Linked DNA regions of Rattus norvegicus. The protein of the gene in region 1 purifies or fractionates together with the protein of each later gene. This does not show direct contact. Links are inferred from orthologs where the notes say so. Each region holds a gene or a part of one and is shown in the gene's direction. Other genes may lie near its edges. The genes, in order: Tuba1a, Dnajb11, Dnajb6, Dnaja1, Hax1, Irs4 and Tcp11l2.

What was found.
Region 2: the proteins of Tuba1a (region 1) and Dnajb11 purify together in Homo sapiens (affinity purification with mass spectrometry; 3 studies listed by BioGRID and IntAct, counting the BioPlex papers as one, with this or other methods). This does not show direct contact. The link is inferred for Rattus norvegicus from reciprocal best matches to the Homo sapiens genes TUBA1A and DNAJB11.
Region 3: the proteins of Tuba1a (region 1) and Dnajb6 purify together in Homo sapiens (pull-down; 3 studies listed by BioGRID and IntAct, with this or other methods). This does not show direct contact. The link is inferred for Rattus norvegicus from reciprocal best matches to the Homo sapiens genes TUBA1A and DNAJB6.
Region 4: the proteins of Tuba1a (region 1) and Dnaja1 purify together in Homo sapiens (affinity purification with mass spectrometry; 3 studies listed by BioGRID and IntAct, with this or other methods). This does not show direct contact. The link is inferred for Rattus norvegicus from reciprocal best matches to the Homo sapiens genes TUBA1A and DNAJA1.
Region 5: the proteins of Tuba1a (region 1) and Hax1 purify together in Homo sapiens (affinity purification with mass spectrometry; 3 studies listed by BioGRID and IntAct, with this or other methods). This does not show direct contact. The link is inferred for Rattus norvegicus from reciprocal best matches to the Homo sapiens genes TUBA1A and HAX1.
Region 6: the proteins of Tuba1a (region 1) and Irs4 purify together in Homo sapiens (affinity purification with mass spectrometry; 3 studies listed by BioGRID and IntAct, with this or other methods). This does not show direct contact. The link is inferred for Rattus norvegicus from reciprocal best matches to the Homo sapiens genes TUBA1A and IRS4.
Region 7: the proteins of Tuba1a (region 1) and Tcp11l2 purify together in Homo sapiens (affinity purification with mass spectrometry; 3 studies listed by BioGRID and IntAct, counting the BioPlex papers as one, with this or other methods). This does not show direct contact. The link is inferred for Rattus norvegicus from reciprocal best matches to the Homo sapiens genes TUBA1A and TCP11L2.

Annotation. Positions count from the first base shown.
Region 1 is NC_086025.1:131,993,020-131,997,177, reverse strand, and holds the start of Tuba1a (tubulin alpha-1A chain), read left to right. Parts: upstream 1-1,358; 5' UTR 1,359-1,424; coding exon 1,425-1,427; intron 1,428-3,181; coding exon 3,182-3,404; intron 3,405-3,535; coding exon 3,536-3,684; intron 3,685-3,849; coding exon 3,850-4,158. UniProt on the Homo sapiens protein: Tubulin is the major constituent of microtubules, a cylinder consisting of laterally associated linear protofilaments composed of alpha- and beta-tubulin heterodimers.
Region 2 is NC_086029.1:91,666,301-91,669,800, reverse strand, and holds part of Dnajb11 (dnaJ homolog subfamily B member 11 precursor), read left to right. Parts: intron 1-2,710; coding exon 2,711-2,867; intron 2,868-3,500. UniProt on the Homo sapiens protein: As a co-chaperone for HSPA5 it is required for proper folding, trafficking or degradation of proteins.
Region 3 is NC_086022.1:6,173,005-6,176,504, reverse strand, and holds part of Dnajb6 (dnaJ homolog subfamily B member 6), read left to right. Parts: intron 1-2,933; coding exon 2,934-3,230; coding exon of another isoform or gene 3,231-3,287; intron 3,288-3,500. UniProt on the Homo sapiens protein: Has a stimulatory effect on the ATPase activity of HSP70 in a dose-dependent and time-dependent manner and hence acts as a co-chaperone of HSP70. Plays an indispensable role in the organization of KRT8/KRT18 filaments.
Region 4 is NC_086023.1:60,641,404-60,644,903, forward strand, and holds part of Dnaja1 (dnaJ homolog subfamily A member 1), read left to right. Parts: intron 1-1,127; coding exon 1,128-1,232; intron 1,233-2,986; coding exon 2,987-3,214; intron 3,215-3,500.
Region 5 is NC_086020.1:177,732,543-177,736,546, reverse strand, and holds the start of Hax1 (HCLS1-associated protein X-1), read left to right. Parts: upstream 1-1,204; 5' UTR 1,205-1,270; coding exon 1,271-1,323; intron 1,324-1,371; exon of another isoform or gene 1,372-1,524; coding exon of another isoform or gene 1,525-1,592; intron 1,593-1,808; coding exon 1,809-2,068; intron 2,069-2,234; coding exon 2,235-2,422; intron 2,423-3,556; coding exon 3,557-3,608; intron 3,609-3,737; coding exon 3,738-3,844; intron 3,845-4,004. UniProt on the Homo sapiens protein: Recruits the Arp2/3 complex to the cell cortex and regulates reorganization of the cortical actin cytoskeleton via its interaction with KCNC3 and the Arp2/3 complex. Slows down the rate of inactivation of KCNC3 channels. Promotes GNA13-mediated cell migration.
Region 6 is NC_086039.1:110,145,674-110,149,904, reverse strand, and holds the start of Irs4 (insulin receptor substrate 4), read left to right. Parts: upstream 1-1,431; 5' UTR 1,432-1,609; coding exon 1,610-4,231. UniProt on the Homo sapiens protein: Acts as an interface between multiple growth factor receptors possessing tyrosine kinase activity, such as insulin receptor, IGF1R and FGFR1, and a complex network of intracellular signaling molecules containing SH2 domains.
Region 7 is NC_086025.1:21,061,882-21,066,099, reverse strand, and holds the start of Tcp11l2 (T-complex protein 11-like protein 2), read left to right. Parts: upstream 1-1,418; 5' UTR 1,419-1,482; coding exon 1,483-1,639; intron 1,640-3,720; coding exon 3,721-3,856; intron 3,857-4,218. UniProt on the Homo sapiens protein: Promotes the migration of muscle-derived satellite cells (MDSCs) during differentiation throught interaction with FMNL2 and therefore may participate in microfilament assembly.

The DNA of each region.
Region 1 (4,158 bases):
ATTGAGCAACGACCACAGTAGCAGTGGGGCGAGCCTCTACAGTTCCCACAGTCAGAAAGAAGCCCAGCTGCGGAAAGGGGCTATTTACGGAATTCAGGGAACTACACAAAACTGCACAGGGCTGGCACTGCACAGTTGTCTGGGGATGAAAACAACATCGCAAAAATGGTTTCCTTTTTATATTATAATACTCTCCTCTTTTTAATTTGGCATCTCAGCTATTTTTTACTTGGTATCACCCCCTCCCCCTCAAAAAAAAGGAGCGCTGGAGAAATACAAGCCCACACAAAGAGCTCGTTTTTAAACTCACTCCTTTCTCCTTACAGTTTCTGAATTCCGTATTAGAAGGGATGGCTCATTTCTAGGGACAAAATAACACAGGCTCTGGGGTGAGGTAGGGTCGGGTAAGGGGGCGAGCGGGGAGGGGTGATGGGAGAGCACTACCGCTAAAGAAAGCAAGCTCTCTAGTAAAGCGTTAAGTACTACTTTGTATATTGTTTCTCTTTTTTCCTTTCTCTCTCTCTCTCTCTTTGTTTGTTTTTGGTTTTTGAGACAGGATATCACACTATATATCCAGGCCGGGTACAAAATAACCGCAGTCCTCCGCTTCCCAATGCTGGGATTTACAGGCATAAACCACTAAGGGCGGTTATGATGACCTTGAGCTGCAAGTCTTCCTGCCTCTGCCTCCCAGGTGCTGTTGAGGGTCATAGGCGTGGTCTATTCATACTGAGCTTCTGAATTTTGCTCAAATATTAATAATAATAGTAATAATAATAATAACCACAATAATACAACTGTAAAACTAAACATTTACCCACGCCTTTTTGACCATCATTCCCATAGCTCTTGCTACTTTATTTAAAGCGAACAGAGATGTTGAATCCTGACGGAACGTATTTAAATTTAGTGTAGTATAAATGAAAAGCTGGAATTTACCATAAAGAATCTCAACACAAATTCTGTGATTAAGTGTTGGGGAAAACCTTAAATTATCCTAACTACAGTTTAAGGTTTAAGCTCCGTATAATCACCCAACCCCCGTTTTCTTTCTTCCCTCTCTACCCCTCCCCAGCTCCACCCCATAATGGATGCTCGGCTAGTTGCTTTTGCGAGGCCTTTGTCTGAAGGATGCAAAATCTACGGATGCTAGCGAGGGGGGGAAGGGGGGAGAGATTACCTCATACCATGTCGCTTGCACCAATCACCACTCTCCTGTCGCGGCTTCTCTGGGCAGACGGAGGGGTCTGGACCAACAGGAAAAGGCCTTGGCCCATCCCCATGGTGACCGAGCTGTATATAAGGAGGCGCATCCGCCCAAGTGCCGCAGGTTCTCTTACATCGACCGCTTAAGAGTCGCGCTGTAAGAAGCAACACCTCCTCCTCGCCTCCGCCATCCACCCGGCAGCCGCGAAGCAGCAACCATGGTGAGCAAACCTTCCCGGGCTCTCAGGAGCGGGTGGGTGTCAGCCGGCTCAGTCTGCAAGGAGACGCCTAAGCCTTTTGTCATCTCTGCGGGGAAGGGTGGTCTGGATGCTTTAAGTTTAGCTTAGTCCGTGAGTCCCGCCGCCGCAGTGCGGGACACGGAAACGCCCAGACCGGGAAGAACAAAGGCTGCGCCGGCGAGCGATTGCTGGCAGAGCCCGGGACCACAGGGGACCGGCGGGGGAGAGGGAGGGTGCCGCAGGGTCTGCTGCAGCAGGAGGGCAGGGCGGCGGCCGAGCCCGCACTCCAGAAACGCCGCCCTAACTCGCTGGGAAAATAGTTTGCCTGGGATCCATGGCAGCCGCTGTCAGGGAGGCGCAGGGGCGGGGTTGTTTGTCTCTTGCTTCCGTGGCGTTTTGGGAGGGGTTCGCTCTCACTAAGCCTCACTCCCGAGCTGGGTTTTTTATTATTATTATTATTAATTTTTATTTTTAAAAAGAATCGTTGGGGAATTGTAGTCTTACGAGATGCTCCACGGGGCCATCTCGCTGGGTGGGGGGAGGGGAGCTGGATGGTTGGGAATGACAAAGCCCACTTTGTGAAGCCCGAGTAGCTGACGGTCAGAACCCAGGGAAACGCCCTTCCCCGCCCCCAACCCCCGCAGACAATGAAAGTTGTCCCTCCAAGGCAGAAGTGTCTCTCTCTATAGAATAGTGGTTTATTATGTTGTATGTAGAGATTCATCGGATAAAAATACTATTTTCTACTTTTAAATATTAGTTATCTTTTCACTTGTTTTTTTTTTAATTGTTGGCACTAATTGTGTGCACTGTGTTTCTAACTTAGCCTGCTTTAAGAATGTTTCCGTCCCATCCAATAGAAAACCTTCAAAAACCATAATGATTCTGCTGCAAAGAAAAAAAAAATGATACTCTGCACCCGACTGCCTTTTGTTCTAATATATGACACTCATTCATTAATTCAGGCAGATGGCCCCAGGCAGGGTTGGGAGGCACGCAGAAAGCTGCACAAAGAGATCACGTAGACAGCTTCTGGAAATAGAGCTTTCTCTGTTAAATAATGTAACAGACCACAGGCTAGAGCCAGGCACAGAGAACGCGGCAATGCAGAAGTCAGACTCAATAGCAGGTAACCTAGCCTAGTACTGACCGGGCCCACAGAAGGGTGTGGCTGCTGGCCTCAGCCGCACTGCAGATGTCCACATTGAAATACCAGGTCCTATAGGATGAAACCTTAAACTTTGTGAGACTCGGTCTAGCTTGCAGCTTAGCCAGAGTACTAATGGGGTCCACAGAAGGGTGTGGCTGCTGGCCTCAGCCGCACTGCAGATGTCCACGTTGAAATACCAGGTCCTGTAGGATGAAACCTTCATCCTTACTTAACAAGAAAAGAAGCAATTAATGTAATTTCGGGTAATTATTTCATTTTACAGAATCTATGTTTTGAATATTTTTCAAATATGAAGACTTCTATTCAAACACTGCTATGGGAACAATGGGTTGGCACCATGTCTTAAGCAGTACTAAGGTGACATTGAGGCCACACCCACTTTCAGTATTGGTAGTGGGTACTCCTTCCTCATTGTGTCTGTCATATTAGGGATATGACACTAAATAAATTTAAACAATGTTTGTATTTTTAGAAACACTTTAGAAATCTATTAAAATCTAAAATAGAAGTACAGCTTAATATTACAACAACTTAATTTTATGATATTTTTTCCCCCTTTCCACAGCGTGAGTGTATCTCCATCCACGTCGGCCAGGCTGGTGTCCAGATCGGCAATGCCTGCTGGGAGCTCTACTGCCTGGAACATGGCATCCAGCCTGATGGCCAGATGCCAAGCGACAAGACCATTGGGGGAGGAGATGACTCCTTCAACACCTTCTTCAGTGAGACAGGAGCTGGCAAGCACGTGCCCCGGGCGGTGTTCGTAGACCTGGAACCCACAGTTATTGGTAAGTGGACTGGGGGCTTCCCTGGGGCAGTCCTTCTTGGTCACATACTCAGAATGTCTCTCCAGACCCGGAAGGGTGAGTGAGCTTGTGGGGTCCTTGGTGGTGATGGCTGATGTCTTCTCCTTTTTCAGATGAAGTTCGCACTGGCACCTACCGCCAGCTCTTCCACCCAGAGCAGCTCATCACAGGCAAGGAAGATGCTGCCAATAACTATGCCCGTGGCCACTACACCATTGGCAAGGAGATCATTGACCTTGTCTTGGACAGAATTCGCAAGCTGGTAAATGCCCTATGTGGATGGGTTTAAAATGCAGTGGGAGGGTGTCTTGGTATCTGTCAAAATGTGTCAGGTCTTTCCTATCAGGTAGAGATGGCTCACAGTCTAAAGGAATTGAAATAGTGTATGCCCTGGTAATAAGACATTATATGTCCTTTTCTCCCACAGGCTGACCAGTGCACGGGTCTCCAGGGCTTCTTGGTTTTCCACAGCTTTGGTGGGGGAACTGGCTCTGGGTTCACCTCCCTGCTGATGGAGCGGCTCTCTGTCGACTACGGAAAGAAGTCCAAGCTGGAGTTCTCCATTTACCCAGCCCCCCAGGTTTCCACTGCTGTGGTTGAGCCCTACAATTCCATCCTCACCACCCACACCACCCTGGAGCACTCTGATTGTGCCTTCATGGTAGACAATGAGGCCATCTATGACATCTGTCGTAGAAACCTCGACATTGAGCGCCCAACCTACACTAACTTAAAC
Region 2 (3,500 bases), on another chromosome or scaffold:
AAGGGTGTTAACTTCCCTGGATCTGGAGTTTCAATTGCATGCAAGTCACCATGCGTGCTGAAAGCTGGATTCAGCTCCCCTGTAAGAGAAATAGGAACCTTGGGGTGGGGGTGGGGTGGGGGTGGGGGTGGGGGGTTTTATGTAGGTTTTGAATCAGCTTGAAAAGTAGTGGCTCTCCTTTAATTGGATTCTTTTAACATCCTTAGTTTCGTGTAACCCACTCCTCTCCAGAATTGGAGTGTTGTGTGAGCCTCACTCTGTGTTGTTAGCCGTTTTTGTCATTAGAAGGCTGATTCCTAGCATGAGATGTCAAGACTTTAGAGATGAGGTCGACTTCCTGGGGGTGATAAATGTTAAAAATGCTGTAGTTGAGCTGGGACCCAGCACGTGGGAGGCTGAGGCAGGCAGATCTCTAGTTTGAGGCCAGCCTAGTCTACAGAGTGAATTCCAGGACAGGCGGGACAACAGAAAAACCCTGTATTGGAAAAAACAAAAACTTGTGTATAGGTGAGCTGAATATGACTTTATATGTCTGTAAATTCAGCATTTGAGAGGTAGAGGCGGGAAGATCAGGAGTTCAAAACAAACTTCAGATACATAGTGAGTTCAAGGCCAGTCTGAGCTACATGAGGACCTGTCTAAGAAAACCAACCCAGAAACCTAACAGAGTGATTAAAATAACTAAATTACTGTTGGAAAGTGTGACCAGGAGTTTATGAAATAACCCCAACCTTCTGAGTGCTGGAATTATAGGCATGCGACATCAGGAATCCAGGACTTCATGGATTTAAAGCAGGCACTGTCACTGAGCCACGTGCCAGCCATAAAATGTATTTTTTAATATTCTGCCTTATGTCTTGGCTCCCGGTTCATTTCCCCATACATTTTTAAATTATCCGCCATGCTATGTCAGCCTCTATTATATGAGTTCCCTAGCCCCATTGTTGAGATAATATTTTTAGGTTCTATTCTAGTTTTAGGTTTGAATTCTAGTGGTTGAACTTCTGGCAAAAAGAGATGTGAGCATTCTTATATGTTCACCTTACTCAGAGGGCATTTACTGGCCTCTTCAATGAGCTGGGTACGGCCCTTGCCTGGAATGCTTTTTATAGTCTCACTCTAGCTTTCTCCCAACACTTCTTGCAGAGAAAGAACCCTTTTATGGTTGATTCAGCATAGCTCCTGGCAATATTCCCTTATTTTATGCCCTAATTTATATCATATGAATATTCTCAACTACAGTGATACAGAGGCTCCTGCGTGTGGACTTTAGAAGATGTCTGTCATAAAGACTTGATCCTAACAGATTAGCATAGTTACTGGCAATGAATGCATAAAATGTATTTTTCTCCCAGCATATACCATAATCATTGCATCCAGATGTGTGCTATTTTCCCTTCAGGTTTATTATTTGGAGTTTGCTTAATCTTTATGAACTCCTTAGGCCAGTCCATCTTTAATGTCCAAAAGTGCTTCTATTTAGGACATGTATGTGATGTAATCTTTGTGAATAAGGATAACTTTCTTTTTTAATCATTTGACCCTTAGAAACAGGTAAAAGTCACTGGGGTGGGGCTGGAGAGAAGGCTCAGCAGGTAAGGGCTCTTGCTGCTCTTAGTGGAGGACCCCAGCACCCACGCGGTGACTCACAGCCACCTGTAACTACACATCCAGGGAGCCAGCTTTAACTGACACCGAGGGACCTGCACTCACACCCACACATGAGCTCATAATTAAAAATAAAATAAATTCTCTTTTAAAAAAGTATTTGGAGCAAGAATAGGGAGTAAAGAGGGAGCCAATTGGACTGTTTGGTTGTTAGCTGGAAATAGCATGGAGCTATAAAGCAAAGGAAAAGTTTCTCTGCGGAAGGTAATTCTAAAAGAAGAGTGCCGCCCGTCCTGTACATATTTTTGAATTACCTCCAAATCATAGTCCCGTTATGATTATTTCTGTACCTAAGACTATAAATCCTGGCGTGTCCCTTTTTTGTTCATTGTTTTATATATGTGCACATGTCACATATTCCTTTGTCTTTATCCTTCCGTGCTTTTATAGTTGGACTTAACTGCAAAGGGAGATAATGTAATGCACCCTGGGAGATGATAATTCAGCTGTTAAGAGCACGTGTGTTCTTACAGAGGACTCCATTCAGTTCCGGCACCCACATCAGGCAGCTCACAACTTCCAAGGTTCTTTTCTGCTTCTACAGGCATCTGCATGTGGTACACAGGTGCGCGCGCGCGCGCACACACACACACACACACACACACACACACACACGCAATTTCTCTTAATGTAATAGGGAGCTAGAGAGATAGCTAGGACAAACACATGAATTAAAAAAAAAAAAGATTCACGTCTTCCTTGCCAAGGGAAGAGTTGTTGATAGTTAATGGTTGCCGGGTTGAGGGGGGAGTCATTTTCTTTAGGGATGCAGGCCCTGGTAAGTTGCCAGGCTCCAGGAAAAACCTCCCCACCCACACTCATGTAAGTCTCCCTAATTCAGCTCAGTGGGTCACAAACAAAATATATGAAGGGGGGGCTTATTGGGAAGAAAGAAGGGCTCAGTATGAGTGGGGCCATGAGAAAGGGTGAAGGAGTCATGTGAAAATGACCAAAGAATGTTACATATGTACAGAGAGTAAAAAGGTAAATTAAAGAATATAACAGAACTCTCTAATGAAGTCTTACCTGTCCATCCTCTCAGGCGGGATTTCTATAAGATCTTGGGAGTGCCTCGAAGCGCCTCCATAAAGGATATTAAGAAGGCCTACAGGAAACTGGCCCTGCAGCTTCACCCTGACCGGAACCCTGACGACCCCCAAGCCCAGGAGAAATTCCAGGATCTGGGTGCTGCTTATGAGGTGAGTCGTGAAAACAAAAATGGGAACGCTGACCGCGGATGCGGGAAAGACCAGTCCCGCGGATCATTCCTGTTCAAAAGTACATAAGTGAACTGGGCGTTCCCGGACTGTGCAGTTGTTATCCACAGACTCCATTTTTATTTGTGTGTGTGTGTGTGTGTGTTTGTGTGTGTGTGTGTGTGTGTGTGTGTGTGTGTGTGTGTGTGTGTGCGTGTGTGTGTGTGCGTGTGTGTGTCAGGTGTGCATGGGTGCCCACAGATGCTAAAGGAGGCATCAGCTCTCCTGCTGGGGTTAGAGACGATTGGGAGCTGCCTAGTGCGGGTGCTAGGAACCAAACCCAGGTCCTGTGCAAAAGAAGCAAGTGATCTTAATGGCCCAATCCCCTTGCCTCCGCTCTGACAGTGTGTAAACCAAAGTGGGTTGGTGGCCCCTAAAATGACACATAAAATCTTATTTCTTAGGAGGTACTGACTTCATATTTTGTACTGTTCCCATGAATATTATCATTATTTCATAGAAACCTGATACTCAAAAATACTTTCCAAGAGTCTGCATTTACTTCTTCCAGTGCTTTACAATGCACATGTGCTTTTTTGTTTTTGTTTTTGTTTTGTTTTTGAGACTAGGAAGGTC
Region 3 (3,500 bases), on another chromosome or scaffold:
TCCTTCACCTGTTTTGTTGTGTTTTCCTGTAATTCTTTAAGGGATTTTTGTGTTTCCTCTTTAAGGGCTTCTACTTGTTTACCTATGTTGTCCTTATGTCTTTAGGGGAGTTATTTATTTCCTTCTTAAAGCTCTCTATCATCATCATAAGATGTGATTTTAAATCCAAATCTTGCTCTTTCAGTGTGTTTGAATATCCAGTATTTGCTTTGGTGGGCGAACTGGGTTCTGATGATACCAAGTAGTCTTGGTTTCTGTTGCTTAGGTTCCTGCGCTTGCCTCTCGCCATCAGGTTGCCTCTGATGTTAGCTTATCTTGCTGTCTCTGACAGTGGCTTGACCCTTTTGTAGGCCTGTGCATCAGCACTCTTGTAGACCTGTTTTCTTTCAGCCAGATCTGGAAACAGAGAGCTTCTCCTGTTTGTGTGACCTGAAGCCTCCAGGCAGGTTGGTTGGTGCAGAATAGTTGGTCTTACCTCTGCTCTTAGGTGTCTAGGCCCTCCTTGCGACTGTCTTTCAGCTTTTGGTGCAGGCATAAACCCAAGGGGTCCTGCCCTTGACTGCTGCTGGGTCCCTGTGCCCAGAGGGCACTGATGGCAATAAGGTGGGTCAGGAATGTGAGAAGAAAGTAGTCTCTGAGTTCTCAGAATTGTCCATCCTTCTGAGAGCCCAGCTCTCTCCCCCACAGGGTTTGGGTACCAGGAGCTATGTGACTGGTTCAGTTCAGTTCTGGGTGTAGGCAGAAACCTGCAGGTTCCTGCTGATGACTGCTCCTATATTCCTGTATCCAGAGGCCACTATACAGGTTCCTCTTGGGCCAGTAAGTGAGCAGAAGTGGTGGTCTCCCCTGAGGTATCAGAATTGTCTGCACTTTGGGAGTTCACCTCTCTCTCATAGGGGATTTGGGTGCAGGGAGCTATGGGATAAATTCTTGCTATGTCCAGAGTGGCTTCCAGTGCACTGTCATGCCCAGTGCATTATCAGTGCTGCAATCACAGCGTGTCTGATCATGCCTGGGGGGTTTTCAGGTATGGTTCTTTGTTCAGCAGAGAGTAGTCTGGCTTGGAGTCTGGGCTTCCTTCATGTGCTCAGTCTCTCCATAGTCTTGGAGTGACTGGCCAGCTGTGGGACACGGCAGGGATAGTTGACAATACCCCCAAGGCATCAAGTGAACATCATATTATCTTCCCATGTGCCATCATTTATATCATTCAGATTCTGAACCTTGTCACCATATGTCTACCATTACCACCTGAGTTGTCAGGAAATGTGTTCAGTTTGCAGCAGAGGTTGGGTTGTTTCAGGAACCCACATGGGCTGTTCTTACCCAAACAGTGTCTTTCCTCAGCAGTCTTTGAATACAGTGTCTCAGTCTGGTGCCTGAACATGGGGTGCATGGTAATTTCCTTTCCATGGCACCCTAGATCTCAGGTCTTGTTCTCATTCAGACATGTTTGCTGAACTTGAAAAGCTTGCTCATAACAGTTTTGCCCTCTGCAAATGTGTGTGGCTCCTCCGGATCCCCAGGCCTGTAGGATGGGTGAGAACAACAGGGGCACCTCTGGACAGGCTGTAGCTGCTGGCTTATCTTTGTGCATGGTTGGTTAAATGGGTGCAACATGGTGTGTGTAAGGCCTCTGATTCATTGAATGCCAGTAAATAGCCAGATGCCTTGGTGAAGCTTGCAAGCTCAGTGCTCTGGACTTGTGACGGGTGACCCTGTAGCCACAGGTGTGATCTATTACCCCAGTTGTCCTTCCTTCCTTCTTTCTTTCCTTCCTTCCTTCCTTCTTTCTTTCCTTCCTTCCTTCCTTCCTGCCTTCCTGCCTTCCTATCTTTATTTCATCTTTTGTTGTTTTGTTTTGAGACAGGGTTTCACTGTATAGCCCTCGCTATCTTGGAACTCACTTTGTAGAGCAGGTTGGCCTGCCTCTGCCTCTTGAGTGCTGAGACTAAAGGTGAGCGCCGTCATCTCCCAGCCGCATTACCCTGTTAAGATTCTGGCAGGTTCTGTTGTTACCTACCAGGCTTCTCCACAGGTCTGGCTCCTGCAGAACCTGGGTCTGTGGGAGATGTCCAGATGAGGGCTGCTTTAAATTGCTGACCACATTGCCTTGAGCAGGTGCCTCCCAGGGATGAAAGGGAGGGGGTGCATGTGGGGTGGTTGTACCTTTTTTTGGTTTACTACCAAAGAAAGGCAGCTCTTGAAAGTCTCTGGCTGAGTTGACACATAGGCTGCAATGGGTGGTTGCAGGGCAAAGGTTTATCCTGGGTGAGCTGAGTGTCAGAATAGAGTCACTGCCTCTAGTTTTATGCTTGGTATAAATGATAGCAGTGCTGTTACTCAGTTACAGAGAATGGGAGTTAACCCTTTAAGTGTTGCTTTCTTGTTCTATTTTCAGTATCCACCTAGTGTGGAAAACCTTGTTTCTGTTTTTCCAAAGATAACAGCCTTCTGAATGATGACGGGGTTGAGAGGTGTGATGAGCTGGCTGGCTGGGAAATTTCTGGGAGGACAGAGTAAGCACCTGAGGCTTCCGCAGGCCTGCTAAACCATTCTACTCTTGTGCAGAGGTGATGTGTCCTTGATTGCTGGCCTATGAACATGCTGGGCCTCTTTGCAGGGCTCAATTGTTGGGTTAGCAAGAACCATGCTAAGGTGTCTGCCAGACCTGTGCCTTGATTGATCTGCTGAGAGTCTGGATGATGGTAATAAGCAGAGAGAGTCCATTTCTCTGGTATTGTTTCTTTCCCACTGTGGGAAGAGAATGTTCAGGCCTAGTAGTGCATCAGAGGGAATGGGTAGTTTCTTTATAAATGTATGGTGGCTCTAGAGATGGAGCCATCTTTGGGGAAAGAAGGAAGGTGTGTGAAGCCTTTTGCTCCCAAGGGAGGGCTGAGGCTCACAGCTCTCCTGGTGTGCTGTGCTTTCAGGTGTGGCCGACGAGAACGCCCTTGCAGAAGAATGCCGGCGGAGAGGCCAACCCACACCAGCTCTGGCCCCTGGCCCGGCCCCAGCACCAGCCCGGGTCCCCTCTCAGGCCCGACCCCCGACCCCAGCTCCCACCCCAGCTCCAGCCCAGACTCCAGCCCCTTCTGTCAGCACCCGCCCACAGAAGCCACCCAGGCCTGCCCCAACGGCCAAACTTGTGTCTAAAAGCAACTGGGAAGATGAAGAGCAGGACAGGCAGCGGGTTCCTGGCAACTGTGATGCCCCTATGACCTCAGCAGGTGTGCAGAAGGGAGCTGGTGTGGAGCACCCCCAAAGTGTTTTGCCCCCAGATCCAGGTCAGCAAGCACAGAAGTCAGGCCTATGTTGCTGCATTCTGACCTGAGCGGGCATGGGGTAGGTGCCTGGCCTGCCGAGAAGGGACAGAGAGGATGGATACCTGTGTCCAGCTCCCCTCCCACAGCTGCTGTATGTATGGCCTAGCTGCGTGGCTCAAAGCCAGCCCCATGATTAAAACAGGGGTCCCAGTATTCTGATGTGTATGGAGTATG
Region 4 (3,500 bases), on another chromosome or scaffold:
ATGACTAAACCTTTTTGGCTTAGATCAGTTTGAGGGGTTTTGTTAACTTGTTGCTGCTTTGGAAAATGTACTTGGTCATTTTCCAGAAGCTTTATTTTTCCTTTCTTGTATTCAGTATAAAGTTGAGAAAGCTCTAACTTTCAATTTGAGAACCTACATGCTTACATGTTCTCTTTATGATAATAAAAATACAAAGTGAAGCTAGAAGCACAATGTAGTGAGACTTTTAATAACCTCATTTAAAGAGTAAATATTTTTTTACGTATGATATTCAGAAAGGATTGGAACTTTATTTAGTAGTTAGGCAATGTTGATAGCGGTGGATAAAGTCCTAGTGGAAGGATCACTAGCTAGGAACTTATTAACCGTTGGTGGGTGATTTCATTTTTGTAACCAGGTTGTCCTTATGTGATCTCAACCAACCTACTTCCTGTTGTAGCTAATTATATGTGGCAATCTTTTGTCACTAGCCAGATAGGGGTCTTCAAGTTGAGTTAATTTAGAGGGGGGGGAAATTCTGTCCAGCTATAGTAGCCACCACACTTAAAATTGTATCTAGTAATTATGATTAGTGATTACAGTATTATACAAATAAAATGTGTCCATCATTACAGAAAGTTCTGTTGGACAATATTATAACAAAAGGCCTGGGTAATTTGAGACACCAATGTTAGCCTAGCAGTAAAAACTATTGAAACAGAAATAGAAATTGCTATTTCAGTAGTGTCTCTATTGGCTTCTCTGGCCAATCTTGATTAGAAAGAATTTACTGTGCTAAAGAATGTTTGGATTAAGTAACTGGCCATGTTGCTTAATAATGCCTAACAAGTAAAACTTTCAAAGGGATACATGCTTTGCATTGTGAAATGTGCCTGAACATTGACTTTTAAGGGTAGTATTTTAATTGCTGGATTTCTAAGAGGGTCTCTTGTGTTGATGAACTGCTCAGTTTTCTCATCTATGATTAGGTAAGCTTGAGAATCAAGTGATTGGAGGAATGTTGTGAGTATAGTTCAAAAAGATATGTAGCATGAGGCTGGTCTTCCATTATCTTTTGCCATTTTTATAGTGCCTTCAACAATGAAACGTTACAGATGGGTATTTAATGAGCAATGTTTTTATTCTAGGTAAAAATGTCGTGCATCAGCTCTCAGTGACCTTAGAAGACTTATATAATGGTGCAACAAGGAAACTGGCTCTGCAAAAAAATGTGATTTGTGACAAATGTGAAGGTAAGGGTTCTTAAGTGTGCTGAGTTGTTGTTAGTGGGGTTGTTGATGGTTTTTGAGAATAGGTTTTTGTAGGTTTGTTCCCCCCCCCCCCCCCAGCTGGGGACCGAACCCAGGGCCTTGCGCTTCCTAGGGCAAGCACTCTACCACTGAGCTAAATCCCCAACCCCAGTTTTTGTAGATTTAAGCTGGCTTTATCTTTTCTTCCTCAAATTTCTGAGCCACAGGGATTACCCCATACCTACCTAACTTCTAAAACTGAAATGCAACACTAAAAGCAGCTGAATCTTCTACCAAGAGAAACACAATGACTTTGTTGTGACATTTTCATGCCTGTATATAATTTTCATCATTGCTCTCTTCTCCAACTCCTCTTCCTTACATTCCTCTGTGTGCCTGTGGTTTGATGGCCCAGTGAGTCCTATTAGAGTTGTTTACAGGAATGGGGAAGGACTGTTCCCCAAAGGACAGGCACCACAATCAGTTAGCTACATGTAGAAGAAAATGTCTCTTCAGGGATGAGGCCTGGTCATCTGCTCCTTCCTTTATGACAAGATGTTGATGGGCCTAATCCTGTGTAGATCCTAACACTTTTTTTAAACAACACTTTGTACATTTTATATGTATGTTGTGTTTGTGTGGGATGTCAGAAAACTTGCAGTAACTAGTTTTTCTTCAACCATGCATGCATTAAAAATCAAACTGGGGTTGGTTAGACTTGGTGGCAAGTATTTTTCAAACTCTGATCTGTCTCAGTGGCACTAAATTAGCATCTTTTTGAAATTAATACTTAAGTTTTGTTTTTCATTTGTTATTGTTGGTTGGTTGGTCATCCAGGCTTCTGTCTCTAGTTCCTGAGTGCCTCCTAGTGTTAAATGTACAGTGTATACTACAGCATTTTGTCTACCCTTTTTTTTTTTTAAAGAAAAAAAAAGGATGGTCCTGATTCCAGGCATGTTTTAGATCTCTTATGAGATCGGCAAAACCTTGTCTCAAAAAAATTGTGCTGTGGGAACACATAATGTAAGATTGTGGTACAGGCTGTCTTGGAGTTACTGCTCATCTCACTACTCCCTTAAAGTGTTCTGAAAGTGAAATTCACTGTTAAGACCGCCCACTTCTTGAAGCTGACTAAAAAGGCTTGACACTCCATAACACCTGTCCCTTGTTTTGCTTTCCTGTGTGTTTATCTATGTACTGCTGCATGCAGTACCTGTGGAAGCCAGAAGTTCAGATCCCTCTGGAACTGGAGTTAAAGAGGATGTTTGTGAGCCACTATGTGGGTGCTGAGGAACAACCCCAGGCCCTCTGGAAAAGCAGCCAATCTTAATCCTTTAAATCAGTGAGGCATTTCTTTACAACTTGCCCTTCCCTTCCTATATCATCATCATCATCATCATCATCATCCACCTCCCCTCCCCCATCTGTGCCAAAAATCCTAAGAGTGGTGCTCTGACATCCTTTATCTAAAGACACACCTTCCCTTCACCCCACTCTCCAACACATGCAACTGCTTTTGCTGACCCATGTGTCTTGTTTAAACTAATTCAAGAGGAAGACCTCTCACCCTCCTCTTGACAATTGCTGAGATTCATAGCTTGCCTTTGTTTGCTTTTTCTCTCAAACTTCCAAAGAAGAATATTAATTTATCTGAATTGTACATTTTAGGATATCAGTCCATAAGGCCTTAAATACTGCGGCATTAGATTCTTGGTTACTGCTAAGTTAATGTATAAGTTTCTTTTAAAACTGTCTAGGCCGAGGTGGTAAGAAAGGAGCAGTAGAGTGCTGTCCCAACTGCCGGGGGACTGGCATGCAGATCAGGATTCATCAGATTGGACCAGGAATGGTTCAGCAAATTCAGTCAGTGTGCATGGAGTGCCAGGGTCATGGAGAACGCATCAGTCCTAAAGACAGATGTAAAAGCTGCAATGGAAGAAAGATAGTTCGAGAGAAGAAAATTTTAGAAGTTCATATTGATAAAGGTGAGTACTGATCCACTCTAGTCTGAATCATGTGTTTTATTCTGACTGTTTGATTCATAATGTGTATTTTGGTTTTTTGGTGTTTTTTTTGTTTTGTTTTGTTTTTTTTTTCTTTTTTAACCTTCATTACCTTTTGTACCACTTCCTTTTAAATTCTTTGCAAATTTATCATTTCGTGGTAGAGGTTTTTGTGATGTAATGTTTAATTAGGATTGCTTGCATGAGTGGGGATTATTTACTGGAACATGTACAATTTAACAGTGGCTATAGGATTTAAGAAAAGGGC
Region 5 (4,004 bases), on another chromosome or scaffold:
AGAGATCTACCTGCCTCTACCTCTTGAGTGCCAAGGTTAAAGGTTCTCAGCACTATACCTTACCTTGCCTTTTTTATGTGACTTTGAAATGCCTAAGTTTTGGGAAAGGAGTGGATGATGGTAGAGCAAGACCTGGGGTGGGGACATGGTGCAGTAAAAGGTTTTGGACATGGAAAAAAAAGTTTCATTTTTCTTTATAAAAGCCATATTGCCAAGAACTGGGATCCTGTTTCAGCCTTCTAAAACTGCAAGTATCTCTGCGTTGGTGTATGAAGCGGGTGGGGGTCTCTATATTTTGAGTCAGAGCCTCACTGTAGCTCTGGCTTGCCTGAAACTCAGGTGTGTGGAGCAGAGATCCGCCTGCCTCTACCTCCCGAGTGGGTTAGACAAAAACACCGTCAAATTTCATAACGGCACAGTCTTTCCAAGACATGCTTGAGTAGCTTCTCATTCCTGCCTAGTCTACAAATCTTACGTTGCTGGTTGCCATCTGTTTAGTTTTTTAAAAATAGTAGTGTTTGGTGGCAACCTCCTTTAATCCCAGCACTTGGGAGGCATAGGCAGGCGGGTCTCATGAGTTTATAGCCCCCTTGGTCTGCAATTGAGTTCTAGGACAGCCAGAGCTACCTACACACAGGAACCCTGGGTCGGGGGGGGGGTGGGGGGGCGGAAAAAGTTTAAAAACTCCGTACTAGCTGAAGAGATTCCTATCATCTTTATTCAGCAGTAGGGAAGTCGCGGTGTAAGTATCTTGGTAAAACACTTTGCCTAACCTAGTATTAGACGTCACCGACATCATTCTAGAAACAAAACACAAGGTGGGAGGCGTCACCGTCAGTCTAGAAACAAAACACGAGGTGGGATGTGTTTTCTGATCCTGGGGGAAGCAGGCCTCTGAGTGAACAGGCCACTCCCTCTGGCGGCTACCTGAGACCCTCCAGAGAGAAACGGAAACACGTCTTGGGGTCTGGCAGATCGGCAGGAAGAAGAATCACCTAGAAGGGATGTGATCCTTGGACAGTGGGAATTTCGCACGTCCACCCCCACTCAAAACTGAAAGGTAGCGTATAGAAGCTTCGTGTCTGAGGAGCGCCGTCAGCCCCGCCTCTTCCTCCTCCGAGTTACAGCTTTTACGACAGTGCCGCATCGTAGGCTTGCTTTCCGGCAGCGAACGCTAAGCCTTGGCTATATCCGACAGGGTAGCGTAAACTGGTGGTCTCGTGTTGCCCATGGGCTGCAGAGTTTCAAAGTTTCTAGTACCCCTACGGGAATGAGCGTCTTTGATCTTTTCCGAGGCTTTTTCGGCTTCCCTGGACCTCGGAGGTGAGAATAGTCCTGGGCTGGACTTAAGGGAGGGTGTTTTGGTGGACACTTGACCCCTTCATATTTTTGGAAAGTTTCCTTTCCCGCCCCCTTTAACTCTTGCTGAGAGGTCAAAGATCGCATTCTTGAGTACTCACCCGCCACAGTAATCAAAGCGTTGGTTAAGAGGACAGAAACGGCACCTTTCTCCAGACTGGGGTGATGCAACAGGGACCTGAGCGGAGAAAACAATGGGGGTCTGGGAAAGAGGACCGTGAGCAAGTCATTGGGTGATTAGTAGTGGGCAGGATGACCCTGAAGGAACACCATGGGGTGTCGTTTGGGAGCTGTTGGGAGGTGCGGAGAAGCTCTGCTTAGAAACAATTAAAAAACCTAGTAGATCCATCAGCGTTGTTTTAAAACCAGATCTCCTCTTTGGACCGTTTTGCTGCCCTTGGGTTTAGACAGTGTTAAAGTCTTCGTGGTTTATCTGCCTCCATTCTCAGCCACAGAGATCCTTTTTTTGGAGGGATGACTCGAGATGATGACGATGATGAAGACGACGAAGAGGAGGAAGACAGTGGTGCGTGGGGTCGAGAGAGCTATGCGTTTGATGGTTTTCACCCTACAGAGGAATTCGGTTTCAGCTTCAGCCCCAGAGGAGGGATGCGATTCCATGGCAACTTTGGCTTTGATGATCTAGTTCGAGATTTTAATAGCATCTTCAGCGAGATGGGGGCCTGGACCTTGCCTTCCCACTCTCCTGGTGTGTTAATTTCCCTGAGGGAGAGCTGGGTTTCTAGTGGGTTAGTGATGGATAACAGAACTTGCAGAGTAGTTGGTGATGGATAGTGTGCAGAAACTGATTTTAAAAAGATTTAAAATGTTTTAAGGCCTTTCCTATCCCAGAATCACCTACCAACTTTCTACAGAACTTCCAGGTCCTGAGTCAGAAACACCTGGTGTGAGATTGCGAGAGGGGCAGACACTTCGTGACTCAATGCTTAAGTACCCAGATAGTCACCAACCCAGGATCTTTGAGGGGGTCTTGGAGAGTCATGCAAAACCTGAATCCTCCAAACCAGCTCCAGATTGGGGGTCCCAGGGACCTTTTCATAGGGTGAGTACTCTGCACCTGAACTGTAAACCCTTATATATTGGAATCTCTTGGAGTGGAGTTGAAAATTTAGCCCATCTGATTAGTGCATTTATCTGGATTTTATTCCTTATTGGGATTTTTGTTTTGAAACACTTCACTGTGTAGATTTAGAGATCTGCCTGCCTTTGCCTCTGGATTAAATGTGTGCCACCACACCTAGCCTAAACACACACACACACACACACACACACACACACACACACACACACGAGTATTTTGCCTGCTTGAATGTCTCTGTACCATATGTACCTTGTGCCCACAGAGGTCATAAAAGGATATTGTGTCCCTGGAACTCAAGTTATGTATGATTATGAGCCACCATGCTCTTGCTGGGAACTGTGGTCTTCTGCAAGAATGTCTTCTCCCTCTCCTCATATTTTATTTATTTATTTATTTGTTTGTTTGTGTATTTTGAGGCAGGGTCTCTAGTATTGGCTGATGTAGAACTTGCTATGTAGACCATGCTGACCTCACTCAGGGGTCCACCTGCCTCTGAGTTTGTTAGTTAGGGTTCTGTTGCTGTTATTTGTTGTCTTTTAAATTTAGAGTGAGAGAGAGAGTGTGTGTGTGTGTGTGTGTGTGTGTGTGTGTGTACGTGTGTGTACGTGTACGTGTGCACGTGTACGTGTGCACGCATGCCTGTGTGAGTTTGTATTATTGTGTGGGTGCGGGTGCTTGCAATGATGAGGTGTTGAATCCCCTGGAACTCTCAGCTGCTTGATGTCCTAAAAGAGCAGAAGTGTTCTTAATCTGTGAGCCTTCTTCCCAACCCCATTGCTTCTGTTTTCTTTTTGCAGTATTGGAACCTAGAATAGACTATAAAGGGGAAAATGGAAATATTGTGCTTTTTTTTTTTTTTTAATTACTAGTTTCAATTCTTGGTTAAGAAAGAATCTTAAAAGCGCAGGAAAAAATTTCAGGAATTCTTTTTGACTGAAGTCCATATAAACCTGAGGAAGAAGGTGTGTGAACACAAACTACCCAGATAGAAGTATTTCTGGGGTTTTGGAGCTAGTGAGGAATATGGGTTCTCTGACCTGTAAGTTTAAGATTAAAAGGTGTCTTTTCACTGATTGTGTGTGACTTCTTCTACAGTTGGATGATACATGGCCTGTGAGTCCCCATTCTAGAGCCAGAGAGGACAAGGGTGAGTCTAGAGGGAAGCACATTTACCATGCCATTGTCCTGAAGTTCTCTCAGAAGTTTCTTCCTGAAACACTTGTCTAATTTTCTTCCCTCCACTCTATCCTGGCTTGTCATCTTTCTGCCCTTCCAGATCTTGACTCCCAGGTTTCCCAGGAAGGTCTGGGTCCACTTCTTCAACCCCAGCCTAAATCCTATTTCAAAAGCATCTCTGTGACCAAGATCACTAAGCCAGATGGGGTGAGTTGAGAGAGAAGTTTTGGGTTTTTTTGTTTGTTTGTTTTGTTTTGTTTTTGTTTTTTTCTCTTTTCTTTTTTTCGGAGCTGGGGACCGAAGAGAGAGATGTTTTTTAAAAAACTGTCCAGATGGGGTTGGGGATTTAGCTCAGTGGTAGAGCGCT
Region 6 (4,231 bases), on another chromosome or scaffold:
AGGATGTAAAATATATTCAAGGGCATGCATTCATTCAGTCCTTTGTTCTAGATAGGAGCTTTTCTTTTTGTAAAGTTTCCCAATCTCCTTCAAGGAAAAAAGAAAGTTAATATTTGTTAGTTCCTTAAAGGTACAGTTCAAAACACTGCCCTCAAGAAAAAATATCACGACAGCTCAATATTGTTTTTCAGAAAAAATCAAGTCCGGCTTTTTCCAACATGGCTGTATACTTCGCAGGCCCCCAAATTTGTACTTTTATAGTCGTCATCAATCAAATAGAAACACCACATCTAGCAAATCTGTGTTTTCGTGGACTAGAAATTCACTCTGTGTACAGATAGCGTTAATTTTGAAGGCATCGCCGTAATTCCTGAGTCTTTAGAGTCGTTGGCTTTTGTCAGGGGTGGAGAGGGCGAGGAGGCATGTGCAGCCTGGTGTGCAGCCTGGTGTGCCGCAGGTCTGAGGACCCAGGTCTTTACCGTGTTTCCAGGGATAACTGACATTTTCTCTTGAGAAGCACAGCTCAAAGTGAGAATCGGGAGGAACTACAGCAAACGGTTATCGAAGGGAAACTGTGAGCTGTAGGGAAAAAGAGAAAGGGCTCCTGGCAGAGGGGTCACCAGGCTCTGGGATTTGCAGGAATTTATCACCACCATTGACAGCTATTTTCTGAGGGTTGTTTACAGCCTGATCTAGAGACAAGCAGATTGAGAAGCCCAACTCTGGGACCCCAACCACGCCCCCTCATCCCCCAACTCCCCCCTTCCACTAAACTAATATATTCAGGGCCACCCCCTTGCTTGACCCTCCCATTGGCTCATATCCTAACCAATCAGAACCTTGCAGCAGTTTCACCTGGCTCCCCCCCTCCACTTCCTAAATAAACAAACAAACCATCCGGTGCTCATCCAGCCCCGTCCCCTCCCAACACCTCTATTCCCCCTCCCGCCAACTGAGTGTGGGCTGCTGCGGCATCCCATCTTGCCCAAGTGGCTGGCCGTTCTGTCCTCCACCTCTCACGTCTACCCTCCATCCCATCCTTCTGGTACTCCGGACTGGGCTTGGTGTGGTTAGAGAGCTCCGCCTCCTCCCGTCGGTTCTGCCTTGAACCAAAGGCCCTTAGATTCACCTGAAGGGTGTCTGCCGATTTGAAGATGGCCCTGCTTCCCTGGCTCCCGGTTCCCATCCCACGCACACCTCTACTGGTGGCCGCTTGCGCCCCTCCAGTGCTGGGGTGCGGGCTGCCTCTGGTGCGAGCAGCCGCGTGAGGCGACGGTCACGTGTTGTTTTGCCCACTGCTGTGAGCCCGGTGAAGTGGGCGGGGACGCGGGCCTGGGCGGGAGGGGTCTGGGGCGGGCAGACAGGGGGAGAACTGCCTCTTCTCCCCCGAAGCCCTCCCTTCTCGAGCCCCCCCTCCCCTCCGCTCACCTTAAAACCACCGTGCATCACCATGGCGAGTTGCTCCTTCGCTGGCGACTAAGCGCTAAGGAGACTGAGAGCCGCAGCAGCAGCAGCCTCCGCAGCTCTAGCAGCAGTGGCGACCACCCCGCTTCTTTCCTCGGGAACCCCGACCGCACTCATTGGGACCGGGTCGTCCTGTCCGGGAGCCATGTGGCTCTCCCCAGCCACTGGCTCCCGGTCAGACTCCGAGTCCGACGAGGAGGACCTCCCCGTCGGGGATGAAGTCTGCAAACGCGGCTACCTGCGGAAGCAGAAGCATGGGCAGAGGCGTTACTTCGTGCTCAAACTCGAGACCGAAGACGCTCCGGCTCGGCTCGAATACTACCAAAATGCCAGGAAGTTCCGGCTCAGTGTCCGTGCCGCGGCGGCTGCCGCAGCCGCGGCCGCCTCCGGTGCTGCGGTCCCCGCGCTCATCCCACCGCGGCGCGTGATCATCCTGTACCAATGCTTCTCCGTGAGCCAGCGCGCCGATGCCAGGTACCGACACCTCATTGCCCTCTTTACCCAGGACGAGTACTTCGCGATGGTGGCCGAGAATGAGTCGGAACAAGAAAGCTGGTACTTGCTCCTCAGCCGCCTCATCCTCGAGAGCAAGCGCCGCCGCTGCGGCACGCTAGGCGCGCAGCCGGACGGGGAGCCGGCAGCCCTGGCGGCGGCAGCGGCGGCGGAGCCACCCTTCTACAAAGATGTGTGGCAGGTAGTAGTGAAACCCAGGGGGCTGGGGCACAGAAAAGAGCTGAGCGGCGTGTTCCGGCTGTGTCTTACCGACGAAGAGGTAGTGTTTGTAAGGCTCAATACCGAAGTGGCCAGCGTGGTCGTCCAGCTGCTGAGCATTCGTCGCTGTGGGCACTCAGAGCAGTACTTCTTCTTGGAAGTCGGCAGGTCCACTGTCATCGGTCCAGGGGAGCTGTGGATGCAGGTGGATGACTCCGTGGTGGCCCAAAACATGCATGAGTTGTTTCTGGAGAAGATGAGAGCCTTGTGCGCAGACGAATACAGAGCCCGCTGCCGCAGCTACAGCATCAGTGTTGGCGCCCACCTGTTAACCCTGCTGTCCACTAGGAGGCACCTGGGCTCGCTCCCGCTGGAGCCCGGCGGCTGGTTCAGAAGATCCCGCTTTGAGCAGTTTTGCCACCTCAGGGCTATCTGCCACAGGGAAGACATGCTATTCACCAGACGCTTCATCGCACCCAGAGAGCCTCCGCCTCCCTTCAAGCGAGGAAGGGGGCACCTGCCCAGAGCCCGCAGGTCCAGGAGAGCCGTGTCAGTACCTCCCAGCTTTCCCCGACGCTCAGCACCTAGCCCAGGACGTATCCGACAGCCTGAAGATGCTCGCAACCACCGAGCTTGTCAAGCCTCGGGTTCCAGCTCTGGCAACTCTGAAGAAAAAGACAAGGAAGGTGAGGAAGGAAACGGAGGTGCCTGCATGCCTATGAACAACTGGGGCTCAGGAAATGGCCGGGGCTCCGGAGGTGGACAGGGCTCAAGTGGCCAAGGCTCCAGTAGCCAGAGCTCAGGTGGGAGACAGGGATCTGGAGGTGGCCAGGGCTCAGGAGGCCAGGGTGCTGGAGGAAACCAGCGTTCAGGAAATGGCCAGGGCACAGCAGGTGGCCATGGCTCAGGTGGAGGTGGCCATGGTTCAGGTGGTGGCCAGGGACCCGGAGATGGTCATGGCTCAGGTGGTGGCAAGAACTCAGGAGGTAGCAAAGGCTCAGGAAGTGGGAAAAATTCTGACGATGGTGACCGTGGAAAATCTGTGAAGAAAAGATCCTACTTTGGTAAATTCACTCAAAGCAAGCAGCAGCAGCAGCAGCAGCAAACGCTGCCTCCACCCCCACCGCCGCCGCCAGCAGCTGGAGCAACTGGTGGCAAAGGGAAGTCTGGGGGGAGATTCCGACTTTATTTTTGCGCAGACAGAGGCACAAAAGAACGCAAAGAAGCCAAAGAGGTGAGAAATATGGAGACCTCACAAGGTACAACCCGGGGGTCTCTCAGAGCCAGAGCTCTCTATGAAGATGAGGATGACCCATATGTGCCAATGAGGCCAGGGGTGGCTGCTCCTCTTGCATGTTCCAGCGATTACATGCCAATGGCTCCTCAAAATTCCTCTGCTCCAACCAAGCGTCACTCTAAGTCGCCCTTTGAAGACTCCAGAGGGTACATGATGATGTTTCCCAGAGTGAGCCCACCACCACCTGCTCCAAGTGCTCGGAAAGCGCCGGATACTCATAAAGAGGATGACTCAAAGGACAATGACAGTGACAGTGACTACATGTTTATGGCTCCTGGAGCAGGTGCGATTCCTAAAAATCCCCCCAATCCCCAGGGAGGCTCTTCCTCCAAAAGCTGGAGCTCTTACTTCTCTCTGCCAAGTCCTTTCCAGAGTTCGCCTTTGGGACAGAGTAACCATAGCGAGTATGTTCCCATGTTACCTGGAAAATTCCTGGGGAGCAGTCTAGACAAACACGCCTCCTTTAGCCAGGGCACCAAAGATGTAGCTTCAAAGCCTTCAACTGAGGGGTCATTCTCAAAACCTGAAGATAAGGGGTCGTCTGCAAGGCCTTCAGATGATGTGCCCCCAATGAACCAGGCTAAGGAACCTAACCGACTTTCTTTTATTGCAAAAGGAAATAAAATAAAGCCCAGACCACTAAACCCCACACAGGAGCAGAGAGAAGCTGACAGCTCCAATGACTATATCAACATTGACTTTGTTAAGAGAGAGCACCTTGTGCTAGCTCCCTCTGCTCAAGGACTGCCAGAATTCTGG
Region 7 (4,218 bases), about 110 Mb from region 1:
CTTTGTGAAAGTACCCCATCCCTCCCTGCAGGGAGTTCCCTCATTCCTCAGTCTCCATCCAGGGTTGGAGGGGTCTCCTTTGAGCAAATTTGGCTTTTGCAGTCAGCTGATAGCTAGGTTCATAGCAAAGCCAATTTCCTCATAGCCCTGACTGGTGCTCTCAGGCCCAGGCCTGGCATTCATGTGCCTTGGTCTTTCTAGATTGTGCCAGGCATGACTTCTTCCCTGGGATGCTATGTAATGTCCCAGAGAAAGCACTTGACTTTAGAGTGCAGGGACTGGCGCCATGGTGCAGTGAGTCTCCTTGTCCCTCCAAGTATGCATCAGAACCCTATGGTCCTCGGTGCTCAGCAAGTTCGTGAGTACAGACCAAACAAGTCTTCGTCTTCATGCTTCGATAGTTCATATGAAAATGGGGAGCTAGTCTTGGCGACCCGCAAAATCTCATCAGCCTTTGCTTCCCGAGACAGGCTCACAAACGTACCAAGAGTTTGAGTTTGAACGTCCTTAATGTTTTTTAGACTTCCATTCTCTAGCTATGTCCTGTGTTTGTGTGTTCACATCTGTGCATGCCACCAGCACTTGGGGGAGGTCAGAGGACAGTTTGTGGAACTAGTTTTCTCCTGTCATAGCAGGGTTGAATTCAGGTCATTGGCTTGGCACCTAGTGCCCTTACCCACCGAGCCATGTCACCAGCTGAACTTACTTCCTTTCAAACAAGGCAGTAAGAACAGTTACTACGGGGTTGGGGATTTAGCTCAGTGGTAGAGCGCTTGCCTAGGAAGCGCAAGGCCCTGGGTTCGGTCCCCAGCTCCAAAAAAAAGAACGGAAAAAAAAAAAAAAAGAATAGTTACTACAGTTGATGCTGTGATGAGGTTAATCCTCTTCAGTCTTCACAAAGCTGTGGAAGTTCAGTCTGGGAGCCCAGTTTCCCCCATGGAGTCAGGTGGTTAAGTGACTTCTCCAGAACAGAATAGAGTCTGACTGAGGAGCCCACTAGAGCTTCGTCACAGCAACCTAGGAGAGCCTGTTTGTGTACAGTGTACATTTCGGAAGGGTCTGCTATCACCTAGAGCTGCTCCACATTTCCCCTGAATATGGCTTCAACACGCCTTTTGTGGAAGGCAGTCTGGGTGATTTTGCAAAAGTCTTGCTCAGGGTTCTAGAAGGGTGAGGTAATTTGTTGGGGACAATTCCCACCTAGATTGTCACAGCTTTGGGCATTATTATCCATGCTGGAAAAAGCACGTTGGAAGCAGGTGTAATAGGTATCCCAGAATGATGTTGATTCAGGGTCTCTCTGTCTGTGCAGGTTCTCTCTGTGTGTCTCTCCTCTCTCTCTCTCTCTCTCTCTCTCTCTCTCTCTCCTCTCTCTCTCTCCTCTCTTCTCTCTCTCTCTCTCTCTTTCTCTCTCTATCCATCCATCCATCCATCCATCCATCCATCCATCCATCCATCCATCCATCCCCAAGGTGATAAAGGATGCCTTTCAACGGTGAGAAGCAATATGTGAACGAGGACCAACAGAGTGATTCAGAGTCTTCTCGCTTCTCTGAAAGTACGGCTTCCCTCAGTGACTACGGGTGTTCCAGACAAAGCTTCACCAGCGATTCCTCCAGCAAATCCAGCTCTCCTGCCTGTAAGCAACGGGAGCAAGGTGGGGTTGGTTGGGTGCTGGCTCTGTGTGCAATGGCTTTGAAAACTCAGCAGTGCTGTGAGCAAATCACACACTTCCCCATCCTTTCTAGATGCATCAGAATAGTGTGTCAGAGGCACTGTGGTAGTCTTGGTGTGTTCTTAGGGATAAGTTTGTAACCTGCTCATTGTATTTTGAGCCTTGTCTCTAACCTGTTTGGTTTGAGCATGGATCTAAAACCCCCTCCCCTAGCCCTATCTTTCTTGTCTCCTAAGTGGTAGAAACACCCCTTCTTGAGATTATCTTGTGCATTGGTCCTTCTTGTTTCACATGGAAGGAAATTTTGCCTTGCCGGAAGGGTGGGCAGGAAGTGTAATAATCTGAAGAGGGCTTGTCTGCTGATTTCAGTGTTGTGCAAATCCTACTCAGATGAACCAGCAGGGAGAATTACTCCACTGTGGGCTGTGAGAAAGCTAGAAGAGTGGCCGGCACTTACTTACTTACTAACTTATTTATTTATTTATTTATTTATTTATTTATTTATTTATTTAGTGTCTGTGGACACAGATGTTTCAAGTAGGTAGTTTTTGTGTGGTTTTTTTGTTTTTGTTTTTTTTTTTCCTCCTTTCCACAAAATTTCACTCTGCAGCCCAGGCTGGTTTTAAACCTGTGGCAGTTTCCTCCTCAGCCCCCGGAGAGCTGCAGTTGGAGGGGTGAACAATATGCCTGGTTGTGCCTTTTGTTTGTTTGTTTGTTTGTTTTTTAAGTTTTGAATCAGCATTTTTGTCTTAAAAGTCCATAACATCTTAAACTGGCAAAGCTAAGGTGGGAAAAGCACCTGATGTTAGTAAGATCAGATCCCCACTTCAGCGGTTCTGTTGATTTAGATGTTTTTGTTTCCATGTTTAAGATTCGGGAGACCTGTGGTATAGAGGAAAGAGGGGATTGCCTGCAGTGTCACCCAAACATGCCAGCTGCTGGCACTTTGCCAAATCCGCATGCTTCTCATTGGATGCTTGCCCTTAGCACTGTACCCAAAACATGCTAGACTGTTTCCTAAACACTGGCCTTATGACCACTACTGCATCATAAAGTAAATAGACCGACACTTACCTACTGACTTGTCATTGGATAGCCAGTTTCCATCTTGTTTTGCCTGTTTATAGATGGGGTCATGGTACCTAGGCATGCTGAAGAAGGCCTTGCCAACCCCCAGCATCATCTGCCTTTCTCATCTTACTCCCCCTTGGCACCTTCTCCCCTAAAACAAGCGAGGCATTGCCTGTTGTGCCATTCTTTGAGGTCATGATTTCTAATTAACCGAAGCTGAGATTTTTCTAACAGTGGTTTTGTAAGCTTGATTACTTAGAACAATTTCTTACAATGATATCTAGAAATAACTCAAATTCTCTACAAGTGTCCTACTGAGTACGTAATGCAGCAGCCTCTCAAATATATTTTGTTTGCTTTAATCATGTACTGAGTTTCTTGTATGTTCTTGCTTAAATCACCCAGTAGTGGTGGCACACACCTTCACCATCAGCACTTGGGCGGCAGAAGCAGGTGGATCTCTGAGTTCAAGGCTAGTGAGTTCCAGGATACCCGGGGATATGCAGAGGATCCCAGTCTTAGAAAAAAAACTAATAATAAAATAAAACGGTCTTAATCACCTCAGAGTGAACCTATAAGGGCTCGCATATGTGTCAGTGAAGTCAAGTAACACATGGCGGAAATCGGAAAGGGATTTCAGCTTTTGCTACTCTGCCTATAGAGGAAGAATCTGGCCCTATGTATCTATCAATCTACTGTTTGTACTGTTTTACACAGATAGGTGCATATCGATAAGCACTGAGAAGTTACAACCAGCCCGTGTTAAGAGTTTGTCTTAGGAACATTTGAAAATTCAATATCAAATGTGGCGACTGAAGCTTCAGAAGAAGTGCTGACATATTTGAAATCGTTACCAAGCCCACTCTTTTAAAAGTGTGCATCCTTTATACAACCCTGAGATTGACGGGTGTATGGGCCTGACAACACTGGGAGGCTTTGGGTGACCGCAATAGCTGACATCATTTTTCTTTCAGCAACAAGCCCTCCCCGGGGCATAATGTTCGATGACGTGATGGCTGCAGCAAAGAACTTATCAGACATGACTCTGGCTCACGAAATAGCTGTAAACGAGAACTTCCAGCTGAGGCCAAACGCTCTCCCAGAGAACAGGTAACCTAGAGGCCTGTGGCGTGTATGTTGTGCATTCTGTCTGTCTTTCTTCCCTGAGTGTGTGTGTGTGTGCGCGTGCGTATCTGTGCATCATGTTTCCTGGAAGTTCATGTACAGTATCCATAGAGCATACATATTATTTAGCTCTCCTGCAAGGTCTTCTTCTTGTTTATTAAAAAGTTTATCCAGAGTCTTTAGAACTCAGTTTATACGTCACTTTCTGAGAAGAGTTGTCTTGATGTCCCTGAACTTCCAAGACTGCAATTACCTCCTCACTGTAGTCTCCACCAACTCCTTATTGTCAAAAAAATACTTTTTAAAATGTTTATATATGTGGGTATTTTGCATAGATATACATATAC